3 linked regions of the Bombyx mori genome follow. The protein of the gene in region 1 purifies or fractionates together with the protein of each later gene. This does not show direct contact. Links are inferred from orthologs where the notes say so. Each region holds a gene or a part of one and is shown in the gene's direction. Other genes may lie near its edges.

Region 1 (5,425 bases):
GGTGATTGGGTTCTGTAGGTGATGGAGGGCTATTTAAAAACACACTGCTTCATTATAATTATATTGCAGATAGTTTGAACACCATTTTAAAATTATTATCTTTATATTTTTATAAAACTTCTTACATGTTTCTTTGACCGTGTCTAGATTAGAAGTATTGACTTTTTCTTACGAGAATACAATCATCTGTTTTTTAAACGTTTAAAATAATTCTAATATTCGAAATCTGTAATCATGCGTCAAGTGCTGCCTGCCATTACATTTATATTCAAACTCCAACAGTTGAACTGAATTAAATTCAATTCACCCAACTGAACTGAGAACTGTCTAAGCATCTTCATGCTTAGACAGTTCTCTAACAGACCTAAATTTGATCGTGTCTGCTGCACCACGCTCTGAGCGAAGCTCTCATAGCTGATATGTCATACATTATAACACAAATGTGAAACCTAATAAAAAAAAGAAACAAAAAAGTTAAAAATTGTGTATTTTTTCTAAACTTTGAAACCGAGTTTTAAAAAAAAGCAAGTGTTCAAATATCAGGCATGTACCTTATCTATTCTCGCCACAGTGAGCAAAAAAGTGCCTTAACATAGAAATAAAAAAATATATTTAAAAAATCATAACTCGAAAACTATTAAAAATCGCGGAACGTACATGGGGGTGGTTCGGATAGCCCTAGTGATGTTCTACCTCTGGACTTCGGCTTGACACTATTTTTTAGGGCACCCTGTATAAGCGACAGAAGCTTTATAGAGTGGTGTAACATTTATTTCTGTCTCTCTTCCGTCTCCATTCGATCTGAAATGCTTTCGGCTACTGTAAATTTACGAGCAAAAGACTTCAGATCAGATTGTGTATAATAATTTTTTTAAGGGATTTTATGACCTGATAACTTTCTTCGGATGTACATACTGACTTTTTATTTTTTCACATAAAATTATACGACTAACTAATTAATGCTAGGCAACAACTATTCTTCTTAATAAACTTATGATGGTTAGATGGTTGGATGGCAAGAAGACCAGTTCTAACATGAAGAAACACTAAATAGACAAAATAAAACAAATCACACAACTTCACTCCACGTGTTCCCGCCAAAAAGTCCATGTAGCCATCACAGATTAAAATATTTATTACTATTAAAATATTTATTACTACTTAAAGCCATGCTTACTTTGCCTTTTCAATTGGATAATTTTAAAAAGAGAATTTGGTTAGTGTCTACTCTGTGAGGACATTATTGATTTGTCAATTCAATTTGTCAAAAACGAGTAAAACTTACGTGTTATTGAAGGAAAAAACATTTAAAACATAAACAAATCCTCTTAAAATGGATATAACACCATTATTTAAGGCTTGCATAAAAACTGTTAAAACTCGTAACAAGGCTTTCGGCATACACAGTCCGATTAGCGAAGATAAGCAACGCATATTGAGGGTGAAATCAAAAAATGCTTTCATGGCAACAGCTAAGGATATTTGTTCACAAATTACAAAGCTTAGGGACTTTTTATTGGAACACCGCGATAAATATTTAAGCTTCTTCAATAATGTTACTGGAGACGATATGTCTGATGAAGAGCGCGACCAAATAGACACCGGTGCGCAACGTATCATGAACACATGCTCACACCTGCTAAAAGAGTTCAGGAATGATAATCGAAGAACTACAGTGACCCCACAAACTAGGGAATATATGGACTCAGTCGTAGATTTAATTGATGCTTATTTAAAAGCTGTTTGTAAAGTGCATAGTGAATTGAAAGCAATGAGAGTTAAGCGAGCTTTAGATATGAGAAAATTGTCTAGACTTGAGCTACCAGCGACCAAATCTAGTATTCCTAATCCGTTTACACTAGATAAGGTAATAGAAAAAGAGAATGAGACAGAAGATGAAAAAGAAAATACAAAAACAAAATTAGACTTATCAGAGAATGAGATGGCAATTATGTCTGATGAAGGAGAGTTGACTTCAGAAGAGTTGCAAATGTTTGAGTCGGAGAATGTACAGCTGTTAAATGAACTAAACAGTATGACGGAAGAAGTTAAACAAATTGAAAGCAAAGTACTACACATTGCAGAACTTCAAGAAATATTTACTGAAAAGGTAAAAGGTTAAAATTGAATAAATACATAAGCCATTTAAAAAAAAAAACAGATTACAAGAAAAGAATATCTGCCACCAGAGAGGATGAATGTTGTTTATTATAGTCTGTGTATTATATCTTTATAAAATTGCACATACTGGTACATACATATCATAACTATCTTGATCTTAAAATATTCATATTTGGATGTTCTTTCATACGTAAACTATTGGATGTAAATAAATTTTTCAAATCCATGATACTTTAATTGATTTATTTAGATTCAAATTGATATTACTGTTTGTAAAAGTATAATTAACAGTAGCGGTTAAGAATATCTGCCACCAGAGAGGATGAATGTTGTTTATTATAGTCTGTGTATTATATCTTTATAAAATTGCACATACTGGTACATACATATCATAACTATCTTGATCTTAAAATATTCATATTTGGATGTTCTTTCATACGTAAACTATTGGATGTAAATAAATTTTTCAAATCCATGATACTTTAATTGATTTATTTAGATTCAAATTGATATTACTGTTTGTAAAAGTATAATTAACAGTAGCGGTAGGCAGGTAGCTTTTAATAATGAGATATACAAACAGTTTGTCTGACATAAAATGTAAAAAGTGTAAATATGTTTCAGGTTTTACAACAAGAACAAGACATAGATAGAATATCGAATACAGTTGTCGGGGCAACTGAAAACGTTAAGGATGCCAATGAACAGATTAAGCAAGCTATACAAAGAAACGCAGGCCTAAGAGTATATGTTCTGTTCTTCTTACTGGTCATGTCGTTCAGTTTGCTGTTCCTAGATTGGTATAATGATTAAATTTAGTAGTTACTGGTGGTTTTGTGTTTCATTTTCTAAATAATGATAATTTTACAAAAAAAAGGAACAGTTTTGATGATAATAAAATGATCTTAATTGAAATTTTGGAATCAATGATGTTAATATTTTCGCTTTAAATAAACACGTTTTATCAGAGGCTTCTTATGTTTTTTTATGTGAATACGCAAATATTTCACTATCGGTTATATAAAATATACACTATTATTGCTAGAGTTTCGATCTATACTTTAGCCAAACATTTTTTTAGTTGTTTAAAATACAACTATACATATACTAACTAACTATTATACTTATGCTACTAACTTTAACTTATATGAATCTTAGTTGATAACATGAGAAAATGCTGTTAATTAACGTTGTACCATCTATATTATTTTAAAAATACCACTATTTTATTAATTTAGTTACAAATATAACTTCGGTTTTTTACCAGTCGACTAACTTGGCTGTATGTGCTATTTTCTCTTGGACTATCTATTTAAACGTCAAAGTCCAAACTGTCAAGTTCCAACCCCGGGACCTGGGGATTGTTTATTTTTCAGTTTCAAGACCTAGATGCATATAAATTCAGCTGTAATAAAACATATATCAATGTGTTTCCCTGAGGTGATCAATACTGCAGGATGCGTACTTACCACCCTCTCTGTTGCAGTTCATGAATGTAATTCGCGCAGTACGCACGTCGATATCAAAAGTACGACTGCGACCTCACAGAAAGTCGATTGCATCTAGTGCTAATAAAGTGCATTACAAAATGGAGGGAACGAAAACTATGAAGGAACTGGGATACATATTTGATTCAAGTAACATTCTAAATTTTTTATATCATTTAATTAGTGCCTCCACTTATGAATAGGAACAATAAGAAATTTCAGAAATAACTTGAAAACAGGTACAGTTAAGTGTATGCACGAGACCCTCTTAGTGCCAACGCTTAAGGGTGGTGATAACCACTTTCCATTAGATCCATATGTTCATACCAAGGCAATTAATATATGTTGTTAGGGTATTACTTGTAGATATTAAATGCTACACTATTTTCTAGTTTCACTTTTAAATTAACAATAATATGATACTTAATGCTTTTACTACCAAACAGATGGTCAAGTAAGAAAAATTGGAGCTGATGGACAGCCAACAGATGAACCATTCCAATTTGTTGTGAGCAATGATCACCAGGAATGCCAAGCTCATTATGAAGAACTTGGCTCAGCAATCACCAATTATGTTTATGATATTCTTCAGACTCAGATTGGATTGCAAAAGTTACCAATCCCAAAGGATTCAAATGATGGAACATTTATTTTTGTTTCAAAAGATTATGATAAAAAAGATGTTCTGTTAATATTGATTCACGGATCAGGCGTTGTGCGAGCTGGTCAGTGGGCTAGATCGTTAGTATCATGACTTAATTACTAAATTTTGGTTTCAAGTATGTTTAAAATTAAAAATAAATAATATTGATGATGAGATAAAATTCAAAATGCAAATGTTATTTTGAATTTAGACAAGCAAAGCCATTTTTGAGTAGTACTTTAATAACTTTGGATATATAACATGAAACTTCTTCTTAGTACTGAATCATAAAATTAATATAGAAATATGTATATAATGGTGGCTCAATTCCTGATTCTGTTCATTATCCTTGGTTGGTACAATGATGGTATTACCCTTCTGTTCTTCTTTCACAATGGCAATACTCTATTCATCTATGTATTAATATGTACGTAATCAATGCATATTTTTTGTTTTCCCCATGTCTTGTTTTAAAGTAGGTCACGTAATTAGGCCTGCAGTATATTTGTTCTGAAATGTAATTTTTGTCACAGCCTCATAATCAATGAATCGTTGGACAAAGGATCTCAGATTCCGTATATCAAGAAGGCTTTGGCCAAAGACTATGGAGTAGTGGTACTAAATACAAATGACAATCACACAGCAGATGGAAAGACCATTCTCAACAGTAGCACCGCTGAGGAACATGCCCTTTACGCATGGCTGAACTACATATCCAATGCGAATGCAAGTTCCATACTCATTGTAGCACATAGTTATGGTGGGGTTGTCACGGTTTCTCTGGCAGAAGAGGTGCAAAATGACTTTGAAGACAGAGTAAAGGCCATTGCTTTTACTGACTCTGTACATTCCTATTCTAATAAGAAGCTTACAAACTTTTTGAAACAGGTAAGAATGTAACTGGAGGCATGCACAGTTGAAATTTAACTTTTCCTAATTGGTTTCTCGATATTACAGGTTACAAAGAATTGGATATCTAGTCAGACACCGCTGGATACACCTCTCAGAACTCCTGATTTCGATATAACCAGACTTTCAGCAGGTATAAATATTGCATTCATAAAATCAAATTATTTGTGTTTTTAAGGGGAATAGACTATGGCTATTCTTTCTTCTATGAACTTATTTTCTAGATTATAATTACATACTTATCCAAATCTTTGCACTGCCTTTG
Region 2 (6,072 bases), on another chromosome or scaffold:
AATAAATCTACTACCGGATCGGAATCGTGACCCGCTGAAAAGATCCAGCGAGAAACTCAGCGGGCTGATGCGTGGGTTAGGTTGTAACTCGGCAAAGAATTCGGGGTCCCTAAACTTGCTCTTTGTCTTAGAGCTGAAGACATCTAGTGCTGAGGATAACGAATTTGTTGGATCCGTAATGACCTGTCCAGGGCGTCAACGTAGACTGGCTCCTTCGTAAGTAGGGTATGGGTAGTAATCAGCGGCGGCAACGATAAGGCGATTATCATAACGCATAGCCTTATCGAAGTACCTAAGCTACGCATATTCGTGGGTAGTTTTCTACTGAGACGGTAGAACAACTGTTATTCAATACAATTGAGACGTCGACCTCAAGTCGCAGGGACCTTCACCTTGTTATGGCTCCAGTAGCCACTTAGCACAAGGTGGACTGTTGGCTGAAACATAGTTTTGTGTACAAATGATTTCTAGCATAAAAATGTCCACATTAATTTTCTTAAGTTTTCGTAAGTTGTTGACATAATTTAAACTACTTTACAGTTTAATTTCCCTTTTTTTATTGTTACAAACGTCAGTCATCCGTGACCACTAAAACCGTAAAAGTAAAATAGAAACGTCGAAAATGATATAATGATAATAAAAAGTGCGAGCAAATTAAATCCTAAATGTAGTTTTAATAATGTCCGTATTCACTTATTCTGTAAACCATCCGCTTAGTTTCAGTAGTAATTATTTCAATTATAGGTAGATTAGCTATACGATTGCAAACCAAAAGTCAACGTTTATATTATTTTCAATCATATGAATAAACACTTCGCCGTCCAACGTCTGCGCTTCAGGGCAATCACTTCCGTTGTTTAATTTTCATCCTCTCACTTCTAGACATACACTACGCACAAGGCTGTTTTATTTCTATTCATATGTTTCTTTTTATTAACTTACGCTAGCAATATTAGCAGATGTTATGTTGTTTTATGCTATGTTATGTATAGATACAAACGTTTGTTAGCAGATAAGCATTCTCCTACAAGGCAAGCATCGCCCATTTGATTTTATAATAATAAATAATAATAAAAAATTTATAAATAATAAATAAATAAATAAATATAAATACGAAGCTAACAGGAGTTTCAATTTTCCAACAGTTTTCAAAGGATGACCTTTCAGCGGGATAGCAAGTGCACATATATACATTGTCCGGACTATCGTACAGTTAACTCAAAGCCGAATACATTTTTAATCAAAGAACACAATTCTAACAAATGTGGATTACTACTCTAATAGTAGGTATCTTAAATCTGTGGTATGTGAATAAAACATATGAGGGTTCCTACGTCGATATAATATATATTTTTGAAAGCTAAAATGACGCTACGAAATCTAAGTAATTAGCATAGCATCAGAATTAACATCAAAATGAATGTGATGGTGGAACAGGGATGACGATCAGGACCTATGTATATTTATTTTCATTTCACTACGTAATATATAAAAATGTAACGAATTTCCAAAACCACTCAGCCACAACCTGTCTTATGTTCCTTGTACTAAGTACTTCAAAACATTCCATAAAATATCAAAAATAACTAGACCTAATAGAACGCGTTGTAGTAATTCTGTAATTACTTAAACAATTGGTACCTTTATCTGTACAAAATTTTAACTCAAATGAAATTGGGAAATCAGTATTAATATTTTATTATCATTTCCTGTCACGAAAATCACGTCCTTAGATATTTATGAACGATTATTCGACGGAACAGCACATTGGCAATGCTTCCATAAATTTTGAATACATATTGTTATGATTTATTGCATCAATAAAAGACGAAAAAAAATTGGGATTCATATAAATCGAAAATCGATAAACTACTAATAAACAAAGTAGCGAAAATATGTAGTTCCAATTTTTTTTTTATTAGTAACTACCCTAAAGGTATGAAATGCCTAAATTCCGAACGGATGTGCGACGTGTAAACTGAAATGTCATTGTGACATGTGTCAAAGTAACATGTTGATTGTAATTGTAGGTTTTCAGCTACGTGAATAATTGATTATTTTCAGAATCTAAAATAAAAAAATACTAATTTATGAAACAAAATTCATATGTAAAAAATAAGAAATGTCTACGCTAAGAGAACGCCAACTTAGTACGAACTGAGAATTCTTAAGTAGTGTCGTTTTAAAAAATAATTATGTACAATTTCATTTTGTTTATATATTTTCACAGATGCCTTGAAACAGATGCTTAATTTAAATCAGCCGCTTACAAAGAATATAGCCAATGAACCGACGTGGAAAATCTTAATATATGATAGAGTTGGACAAGATATTATCTCACCATTGGTATCTGTAAAAGATTTGCGTGAACTAGGAGTGACTCTTCATTTGTAAGTATTTGAAATCAATGGTTAGCTGTTCCTCTAGCATTATTTCTGCATTTCTCAGTAATTCAGTCCCAAAACCGCCTCTTTAATATTTCAAGCAACAATGTTTTAAAACTAAAATGCTTTTTACTGGCAGTGAGCTATACCAAAGCCCAAATTGTAATAAACTAAGGACGCCAATCAAAAACATATGATATTGTAATATAAACATAAATGTTTGCCAATTTTGTATGTTTGTATATAAAATCTATATTGTAATGGTAGCCAACAGATGATCCCTATGATTCCTTAAGACTAGATCCTGTAGTTCAGCTGATTATAATTAATTGTGTTGGATTATTTTCAAACCCAGAAGACATTAGTAAAACATAATATAAATGTTTTTGTATTAAATATCATAAGCTCTGCTTTTGTTTTAGTTTGTAAAAGAATTTCTAAATTCAGAAGAAATATAATAAATTATTGCGAGACTGTACTGGTTAAAAGTACTTTTAAGCTGTTGACTCTATATTACTTGATATTTCTTCTCCCTTAAGAATATTTTTAAATGTAAACTATATATTTCCAGACAACTACATTCAGATCGAGATTCGATACCAGAAGTACCTGCTGTTTATTTCTGTTCTCCTTCTGATGAAAATCTGGATCGCATTTGCCAAGATCTCGATAATGGGATCTATGATCAATACCATTTAAACTTTATATCACCAATCACAAGACACAAACTTGAAGACTTAGCTGCATCAGCTATCCAGTCAAATTCTGCTGTCAATATACATAAAGTTTTCGATCAGTATTTGAACTTTATTTGTTTGGAAGATGATCTTTTTATAATGAAGCACCAGCAATCTGATTCATTGTCATATTATGGTAAGATTGTTCACAATATTATTTATACTTTCTGTGTAGGCTACTCACAGTATGGGGTAAATTATTAGTGATGTTGTAAATTCACTTAAATGTAAATAGACATGCTTTAACAAAAACCGCCTTTCAATAGACAAAAGAATATATTCCAAAACAAATTAATATACACTAAAAACAATAATCATCGAAATCAGTTGGTGTGATATTGAGTTATTAAGTTATTCATCTATTTGTCGCGCACATACTTAATGCAAATTTAAGACTGATATGGTTTTCTCCTGGATACCATTATTAGAACTGGACTAAATTGAAATGGGAACACACGGGAAGCGTCAGCTTTTTAATAAAAAAAGAATCATCAAAATCAATCACCCAGTCCAAAGCTAAGAGGTAACAAACATTAAAAAAAAATACAGTCGAATTGAGAACCTCCTTTTGAAGTCAGTTAAAAAGACAAATTAAATGAAAAATAGGGAATGGCTCTGTCCCGTCATGTTGACAATACTGTGCATGTTATACAAGAAACTTTTCTCTTCTCTACAAATTTTTCTTTAACGTCATTAAAATCAATTCTTTGTGAAGCATACCTAATGCACAGTACTATGCATCATAACTAACCAGACTCTGTACAAATATCATTCACGAAAACACTATAAAGTCCATCTAAACATTTAAACCTGAACCTGGATAATTAAATTTTAAATTTTTTTTTTTTTTTTTTTTTTTTTTTTTTTTTTTTTTTTTTTTTTTTTTTTTTTTTTTTTTTTTTTTTTTTTTTTTTTTTTTTTTTTTTTTTTTTTTTATTGCTTAGATGCGTGGACGAGCTCACAGCCCACCTGGTGTTAAGTGGTTACTGGAGCCCATAGACACCTACAACGTAAATGCGCCACACACCTTGAGATATAGTTCTAAGGTCTCAGTATAGTCACAACGGCTGCCCCACTCTTCAAACCGAAACGCATTACTGCTTCACGGCAGAAATAGGCGGGGCGGTGGTACCTACCCGTGCGGACTCACAAGAGGTCCTACCACCAGTAATTACGCAAATTATAATTTTGCGGGTTTGATTTTTATTGCACGATGTTATTCCTTCACCGTGGAAGTCAATCGTGAACATTTGCTGAGTACGTATTTCATTAGAAAAATTGGTACCCGCCAGCGGGATTCGAACACCGGTGCATCGCTCGATACGAATGCACCGGACGTCTTATCCTTTAGGCCACGACGACTTCATTATATAATCTAAATTATAAATTTTATTTTATTACAATTTATAAAGTAAAAGGTAAAAGCGGGGTATATGTTCCGTAAACATGCCTCAATAAAGAAACCGTGAATATGGAATGATAAATAACTTACATATTTGGGATTACAGAAAATACCTATTGAATGACAAGGTTGATTTCATTCTGTTTCCTTACATTCTTAAAAACGTCGACCGCGGCTAAAGCGGCTTTAGTCAAAGGCGGAACCAATACAGCGACGATATCATTTAATTTTATTATCATACTTTCAGTAGAGGTGTAATAAGGTCTATTTTACTTTAGCCCATTTAACGACGCGCTTACAAAGTATATTCGTTTCGATACCTTCATAATGGAATCCTTTTTATCAATGTGTATGTACCGATGCACTGATTAGATCCGCGAATAGTGAAAACGCGAATGAGGCAAACACTGTACTGTAAATTAATTATGATCAATAATAGTGTGGCAGGCAGCCATCATACAACACAAGATATTTGATATATGCCTGAATCTCGTTTACGACATTTTCAAGATAAGCTTGCATACAAGTACCGAACAACAACATTCAGACCGTCGGTCTACTGAGTAATATCACCAGCCTGATGAAAGATCTTCCCTTTCATCATTATTCCCACAATAGTAAAATAATTTTATGACTGATCTAGTGGCATAGCTAAATTTGGTCAGCAGCAAGCACTGTTTCTTTAGTGCTACCAACCAGTTCACGGTCCACCTGATAAGTGCTTACCGGAGCTCATTGACAACATAAAGAAAACTGCTCTCAAAGTCGAGGTTTCAATTATATTGTATAATGCAGACCCACTCTTCTGACAGGGATATGTGACTGCTTTGCAACAGAAGTAGAAGTAACAGACAGAAATGCAACAGAAGTAACAGTACAGAGTAATAGGAAATAGTGGTATTATTTTCTTCGACTTTAAATTGCTTATTTTGTCTTTCAGCAATAAACAAAGCTGATACTAAGGACACTGAAATGGAAGTGATCATGGACAACATTGTTGAAAGCCTGTTCTCTGTGTTTGTGACAATGGGTAAGCTGTAGGTATAATATTGTTTACTATTATAGCTGTTTATGAGATAATGAACTGATGTCTCTGTTATATCTGATATATCTGTTACCTAAATTATTAAGAGACACACAGACATTACTACATAAATGCTATGACCCAATATCAAATATGAGTTTGAACTCAGCATTGTATTGTAGAATGATTGTTTTTAGGAAATGAATTATACAATTTTTATCAATTTAATACATTTTTTTTATTCTAAGAAGACTGTAAAATTATGTAGACAGCTCTGCCAAACTGATTATTACTGGTGGTAGGACCACTTGTGAGTCCGCGCGGGTGGGTACCACCACCCTGCCTATTTCTGCCGTGAAGCAGTAATGCGTTTCGGTTTGAAGGGTGGGGCAGCCGTTGTAACTATTCTTGAGACCTTAGAACTTGTATCTCAAGGTGGGTGGCGCATTTACGTTGTGGATGTCTATGGGCTCCAGTAACCACTTAACACCAGGTGGGCCGTGAGCACGTCCACCCTTCTAAGCA
Region 3 (6,084 bases), on another chromosome or scaffold:
CGCTTTATTGAGTTGTCGATGATACTTATTTATTTATTTATTATTATCCTATGGCTCATCTATTGGAGTGTTGACCGAGGGTGGCGATACCTACATGCGAGCCGCAACCTACTACAGTGCGCTTAGTGCGAGTTTTTTAACGTTCTCCATAGCGTAAAAGTTAACTCAACATTTGCAGTTGGAACAACACCCCTAGCCGCGAACGTAGGCAAACGTTCCAAATCCATACGAATTTGAGTTATCTTCTACGCTAATAGTTTGTCATTTAGTGTGCAATCTATAACCAAACATCATGGTATTACTTGATTGAGATTAATAATTAAATTTCTTTGCCAAAATTTGGGTATAAATTAATTGAACCTTATGTATTATATTCTCCTATCTGAAAATTATTTAAGACACCAACTTTCTAAGAATCTCCCACTTAACTGTAAACTTAACGCTGGTCATAACACTCCTAATACAGTTGCCAATGTTAATATTGTAGATTACCTATGATTATAAGTAGTGTTAGCCTCTCTATGAGTGTGTGTAATCAATCACGACTAGTACGATCTAGTCCTAATCCATTCAAATACTTCATCAAAATACCCAATCCACATAGCCTTGTTCCGTTCAGTTTCCAGTCCTGTACATGGCATAGTACTTGTACTGTACTTGACTGGCTACTGGCTAATAGACTAATCCACTTCATCGCGTGGGCCTCGGACTTCAGCAAAGCACCCAATGACGACATATGCATGCATTTGTTTTACCAACAGTCTCAAATGCCGCGGCCGCTGCTGCCCGGGAGTCGTTCACCAGAGAAGCAACCAGCATGCTGTCACTGGTACCTTGCTCAGCTAGACTAGCCTTTTATAATAAATACGGAGTTTACTGCGTTATTTATTTGATTAGACCCGTTACCTTCTCGTATCCGAATTTACATGATATTAACACCTATGTAACGGGTAGCTATCAGAGATTTTTTTATGGGATTTTATGACCTGGTAACTAAGACCTTTAAATCATGTCTTATTTTAATTTATATTCTTATTTTTATGAAAAATGATAATATGGAGTGAAATGAAATGAAATGAAGATGATTAATTTGAGACATTAAACTGGGATGAAATTAAATTAAATGAGATGAGATTATATGGTATGAAATATAATCTCAGTAAAATGGTGGTTGGTCATTTACTGAGACTTTTTCAGTGGACTTTTTGGAGGATCCCGAGAAGTTACGTTCAGCGGCTTTGTTTGATTTTCCCACATTTGTGCACATTCACAGATATTAAACAGTCAATAAACCACCGTTATTACATATTTAAACCTGAAGAAACACTAAATAGACAAAATAAAACAAATCACACAACTTCACTCCTCGCTTCCCGCCCAAAAGGCCGCTATCAGAGAATGCGAAGATATTTTACAGAATCCTGAGTCTCGCTAACGACATTTTCAAGATAAGTTTCAATACTTTTATACAAATTCCGGACAACAATATTCGGACTGTTGGTCTACCAAGCAATTCACCCGCTCATTGCAAGATCTTCCCTTTGTCTTATAAACAAAACCTGTTTTAGTAAAAAAGCTTTTCTTCTAGTAATAAAGTGTACTGAAAAAATTTAAGTTCAATTCAATTCTTACTGGTGGTAGGACCTCTTGTGAGTCCGCGCGGGTAAGTACCACCACCCCGCCTACTTCTGCCGTGAAGCAGTAATGCGTTTCGGTTTGAAGGGCGGGGCAGCCGTTGTAACTATACTTGAGACCTTAGAACTTATATCTCAAGGTGAGTGGCGCATTTACGTCGTAGATATCTATGGGCTCCAGTAACCACTTAACACCAGGTGGGCTGTGAGCTCGTCCACCCATCTAAGCAATAAAAAATAAAAGTAATATGTGTACTCTTTTTACCACAAGTAGATAGTTTGATGGATCGAAAAGACAATAATTTCACGTAAAATAGCAAGTCCAAAGTGTGACTTTCTGATTGGTAACACTGCTAGTTGACGTGTTGTTGTCATGTCAGTCCACTTGACGTGTAAGCACAGCTGTCGTGGTATTGAGAACCTATTGAGTTTTCTTCATGTTTTCAAAACTATGAGAAGGAAAAAACCTTAAATTAAAGTTGAACTCAATTACATAAATTTTATGTTTAAGTGAGAGACATTTTAACTTTAAATATGGTGTTAATGACTATGATTGCAAGAGTCGCCGACGGGCTGCCTTTGGCTGCCACTATGCAAGAGGATGAGCAGGTATTTAGAATGCTCTATAATCATTTTCTATGATAACATATTTCGTCATATATACATTTCTTTCGTATCTTTTTGTTTCATGTATTAGTATTTTTATTTTTAAATTGCAATTTTGTTTATTATTTTTGTTTGTTGTAATTATAATTTAATTTGCTGTAATGATTTGCAGAGCGGGTGCAATATACTCGAGTACCAGAATCAGGCTAAAATGCTGTTTAGGAAATTAAGCCCTCAGTCCCCGATGAGATGTTCCATTGAAACCGGCCCGTATCTCTTCCAGTGAGTCACAGTTCATTTATGTCAATTAAACCTATATCATTTTAAACAAAAATAGTCCAACAAAAAATCTATATGCAAAACGTTTTTGAAAGTAATATGTACACAGTAGCTTCTTACCTAATTCACCATTTAAATGTTTAGCCAGACATAACTTTCTGACATAGGACATTGTGCACCTGTAATATATTATTACATATGCTACTACTATACTTATTTGCAACATACAATATGATACAATATGACTATTGTGAAAATCAATTTATATTGTATAACAACCCAGAGATGTTACAGCTTATGGGCATTTTAATATCAACAATTATATCAATATGGTACAAGTTTTAAAATCGGACTGTAAAGTACAATTTTATATTATTTGTCTATTCTTTTACTCGTTTTTTAGCACAAAACCCCTAAAATTTATAATGCTTTTTAAGTATTGGCTTTGTAGAATGATTTTTAAGTATGGTTTTGTTTTTTTATTTGAGTTTTTGCTAGGTTTTATTATGTGAGCTGCAAAACTAACTATGTTATATACTTGGAAGCTGCTATGTCTTTATTGTGAGACTGGTGCGATAGTACTGAGCCATATGTTCAATTAAATATTGTTATGTACAACACATGTTCTACTAAAATTCAAAATGCAATGGAATTAACTCTGAATGTAAACATGTTATTATGCATTTAGTTTTATCATGTACTGGTTGGGTGATCAGGCTCACAAGCCACCTAGTGTTAAGTGACTAAGTAACCTTACAATATCACAAACTGCCATATGTGCTTGTTCGCATACACTTTTAGGCATGTTATTCGTGGTGGGGTCAACATCACATTGACTGCTGGGTGTTTGCCTGATTTTTCCTTATAATATTAGTAATAGATTCACATGAGGACATGCACAATTAATATTGTTGTGAGCCACCAGTATACCGAGCAGCTTATGAAAATAAACAGTGGCGCCTTAAGGAACATTTTACATAATTCTAATCTATTGATAATAATGCCTGTTTTTGTGAAATAATGGTTTTAAGAAATAAAATTTCTCTTTTCAGTTATTTGATTGAAAATCACATATGTTATTTGGTCCTGTGTGAAAGAAACTACAGTAAACGACTAGCATTCAATTATCTCGAGGAAATAGCACAGGAATTCTTCCAACAGTACGGACACAGGGTCTGTTTTTAATTTATTAAAATTACAAAATTTTCTTTCAGTTTCAATCTGAGGAACAGATTTTTTAATTGGGTGTTATTTGTAGTCTATCTAGTTTTTTTTTTCCTACCTTATCTGATAGTCTTGAGAGGCTATATCAGCGTCGCCTTAACTAGTAGGTGAGCTCGTGGGGCTCAAGCCTGATGACGTTACTAACACGAACCCTAGCAAGAGCCGTGCTTCGCAGAATCTAAAACCAGATCGGAAAACCGACCCACTGAGAAGCTGCTTAGTGTTAATCAATCACTGGCAGCATGTAGATACCAGAACAAGAATAACAGCACCTGCTGACTCCACCTACTCTGGAATAAAAATATCTCAATATTCAAATTGGAATGCATCATTATTTGAGTTACAGTTTTAGTTTCATTATACAAACAATCAGAATAGGTCTACCATCCCAGTATTAAGAACTAAACATCTGAGATAAAAAAAAATACATAAGTTAATCGTGAACATTTGCTAAGTACGTATATCATTATTGAAATTAGAAAAATTGGTACCCGCCTGCGGGATTCGATCACCGGTGCATCGCTACATACAAATGCACGGGCGTCTTATCCTTTGGGCCACGACGACTTAAAGTGACTTTAAGTACATTTCAAGTTAATCAACCGAATTCTTAAAGACCGAACCGAAAGGAAGACTCGACTTCTGCATTGTGTGTTCAATGATATTTAAACTACAGCGTTATTTATAGAAATGAGTTTGTCCACAGTTGAACACCGTGACTCGTCCGTACACGTTCATAGAGTTCGACACGTGCATGCAGCGCACGCGGAAGCAGTACGCGGAGGGCGGCGCGCGCGCCCGCCGGGCCGGCGCCGCCTCGCACCTGGCGCCGCAGCTGGGCGACGTGCAGCGCATCATGATGCAGAACATCGACGACGTGCTGCAGAGGGGAGCTATACTGTCCGGTAAATGCCTTCATCTTCTCCATTTTTGTATTGATAAATCACCTCCATCCCTAATTTTATCTAATTTTTACACGGGTATAATATTGTTATAATGTACCGGTCTTGCAATTGGCACCACATCACTTGAAAACCTGTCTTTTTATTTTTTTATTGCTTAGTTGGGTGGATGAGCTCACGGCCCACCTGATGTTGACCTTGAGATATGAGTTCTAAGGTCTCAGTATAGTTACAACGGCTGCCCCACCCTTCAAACCGAAACGCATTACTGCTTCACGGCAGAAATAGGCAGGATGGTGGTACCTACCCGTGCAGACTCACAAAAGTCCCACAACCAGTAATTAAGCAAATTACAATTTTGCGGTCTTAATATGTTATTTAGTCAACCTCCCTTACGTTTAAGTTATAATAGTTGTCAATGTTCTACCATATCTTTAACCACTGCGAGTAGTATATCTGTCTGGAACCACTGCATTCACCCACAGTGTGTTTTCAGAGGTCAAACTTTAGTTATGTACCATCCGGCTCCGACATAGACTCTATCAGCATAGGTGGGAGAAAAAAATTTTTTTTCGTGAATTTCCAGAATATGGTTATTCAATTTTACGTGATTTAACTTTCAGAACTGGACACGAAGACGCAAAACCTATCGATGATGTCGCAGAAGTACCGGAAGGACGCCACGTATCTCAACACGAAGTCGATGCTGGTGAAGGTGACCGCCGGAGCCGTTATCGTGCTCGTGATTGTGCTTTACTTCTGGGTTCTCTAGATGATTCCATGATAGTTACGGTTTGTCTCGGGGAAATGAGCGCGACTTATAATTAACACAACAACAAATACATATCGTCGCTGTCAAACCAAAATCAGCTATGTGCAAAAACTCTATTTTGAATTAACGAGTAAAAACATTTTCGTATAAAATTTTATATGAAAGTGGATTTTTAAGAACTATATTAAATGAAAGCTACAGATAAATATTAAAGCTATAGACAAATAACAGTTTTTTTATACTTTGGATAAGGCTGTGAACTATACAAAAAGGTCAAAACGTAAAAATCTCAAAAAGTGCCCATAGTAGATTTTGGTTTGACAGCGACGACATATTATTCAAAACGAAAACAATGATGGTGAATTATAATTATAGCAAAACATTACTATTTAATTGTTCTTATTTATTATTAATCACGTATGAGCAGATTGATGTTGCAGGAGTGGTAGGCGTCCACCGCCTACCGCCATGTACGGTCTGAATGAGGTTGTTGACCCCCATATTTTGTACGCGCGTTCATTGCGTGTTTCCAAAATCTATTATTCCAACATGTTTATTATTTTTCGCCTCGCTTAATATGAGTCAGTATAATGATAATTTGAATTTTTATTGCCCCGGTAATTAGAATTTCTACTTTGGAAACGCCCTTAAATGATCGATGCCCGCA

Evidence for each region. The genes of interacting proteins can lie anywhere in the genome.
Region 2: the proteins of syntaxin-18 (region 1) and protein sly1 homolog purify together in Homo sapiens (affinity purification with mass spectrometry; 5 studies listed by BioGRID and IntAct, counting the BioPlex papers as one, with this or other methods). This does not show direct contact. The link is inferred for Bombyx mori from reciprocal best matches to the Homo sapiens genes STX18 and SCFD1.
Region 3: the proteins of syntaxin-18 (region 1) and vesicle-trafficking protein SEC22b-B purify together in Homo sapiens (affinity purification with mass spectrometry; 5 studies listed by BioGRID and IntAct, counting the BioPlex papers as one, with this or other methods). This does not show direct contact. The link is inferred for Bombyx mori from reciprocal best matches to the Homo sapiens genes STX18 and SEC22B.

Annotation. Positions count from the first base shown.
Region 1 is NC_085127.1:13,547,961-13,553,385, reverse strand, and holds syntaxin-18, read left to right. Parts: upstream 1-1,193; 5' UTR 1,194-1,333; coding exon 1,334-2,110; intron 2,111-2,745; coding exon 2,746-2,934; 3' UTR 2,935-2,952; downstream 2,953-5,425. Other genes in the region: cotranscriptional regulator FAM172A homolog, read left to right, coding at 3,511-3,528, 3,608-3,758, 4,055-4,349, 4,785-5,139, 5,209-5,293. UniProt on the Homo sapiens protein: Syntaxin that may be involved in targeting and fusion of Golgi-derived retrograde transport vesicles with the ER.
Region 2 is NC_085118.1:7,859,623-7,865,694, reverse strand, and holds the start of protein sly1 homolog, read left to right. Parts: upstream 1-1,976; 5' UTR 1,977-2,122; coding exon 2,123-2,150; intron 2,151-2,230; coding exon 2,231-2,390; intron 2,391-2,955; coding exon 2,956-3,257; intron 3,258-5,463; coding exon 5,464-5,553; intron 5,554-6,072. UniProt on the Homo sapiens protein: Plays a role in SNARE-pin assembly and Golgi-to-ER retrograde transport via its interaction with COG4. Involved in vesicular transport between the endoplasmic reticulum and the Golgi.
Region 3 is NC_085121.1:558,945-565,028, reverse strand, and holds the start of vesicle-trafficking protein SEC22b-B, read left to right. Parts: upstream 1-1,988; 5' UTR 1,989-2,168; coding exon 2,169-2,243; intron 2,244-2,412; coding exon 2,413-2,522; intron 2,523-3,571; coding exon 3,572-3,692; intron 3,693-4,449; coding exon 4,450-4,648; intron 4,649-5,268; coding exon 5,269-5,417; 3' UTR 5,418-6,084. UniProt on the Homo sapiens protein: SNARE involved in targeting and fusion of ER-derived transport vesicles with the Golgi complex as well as Golgi-derived retrograde transport vesicles with the ER.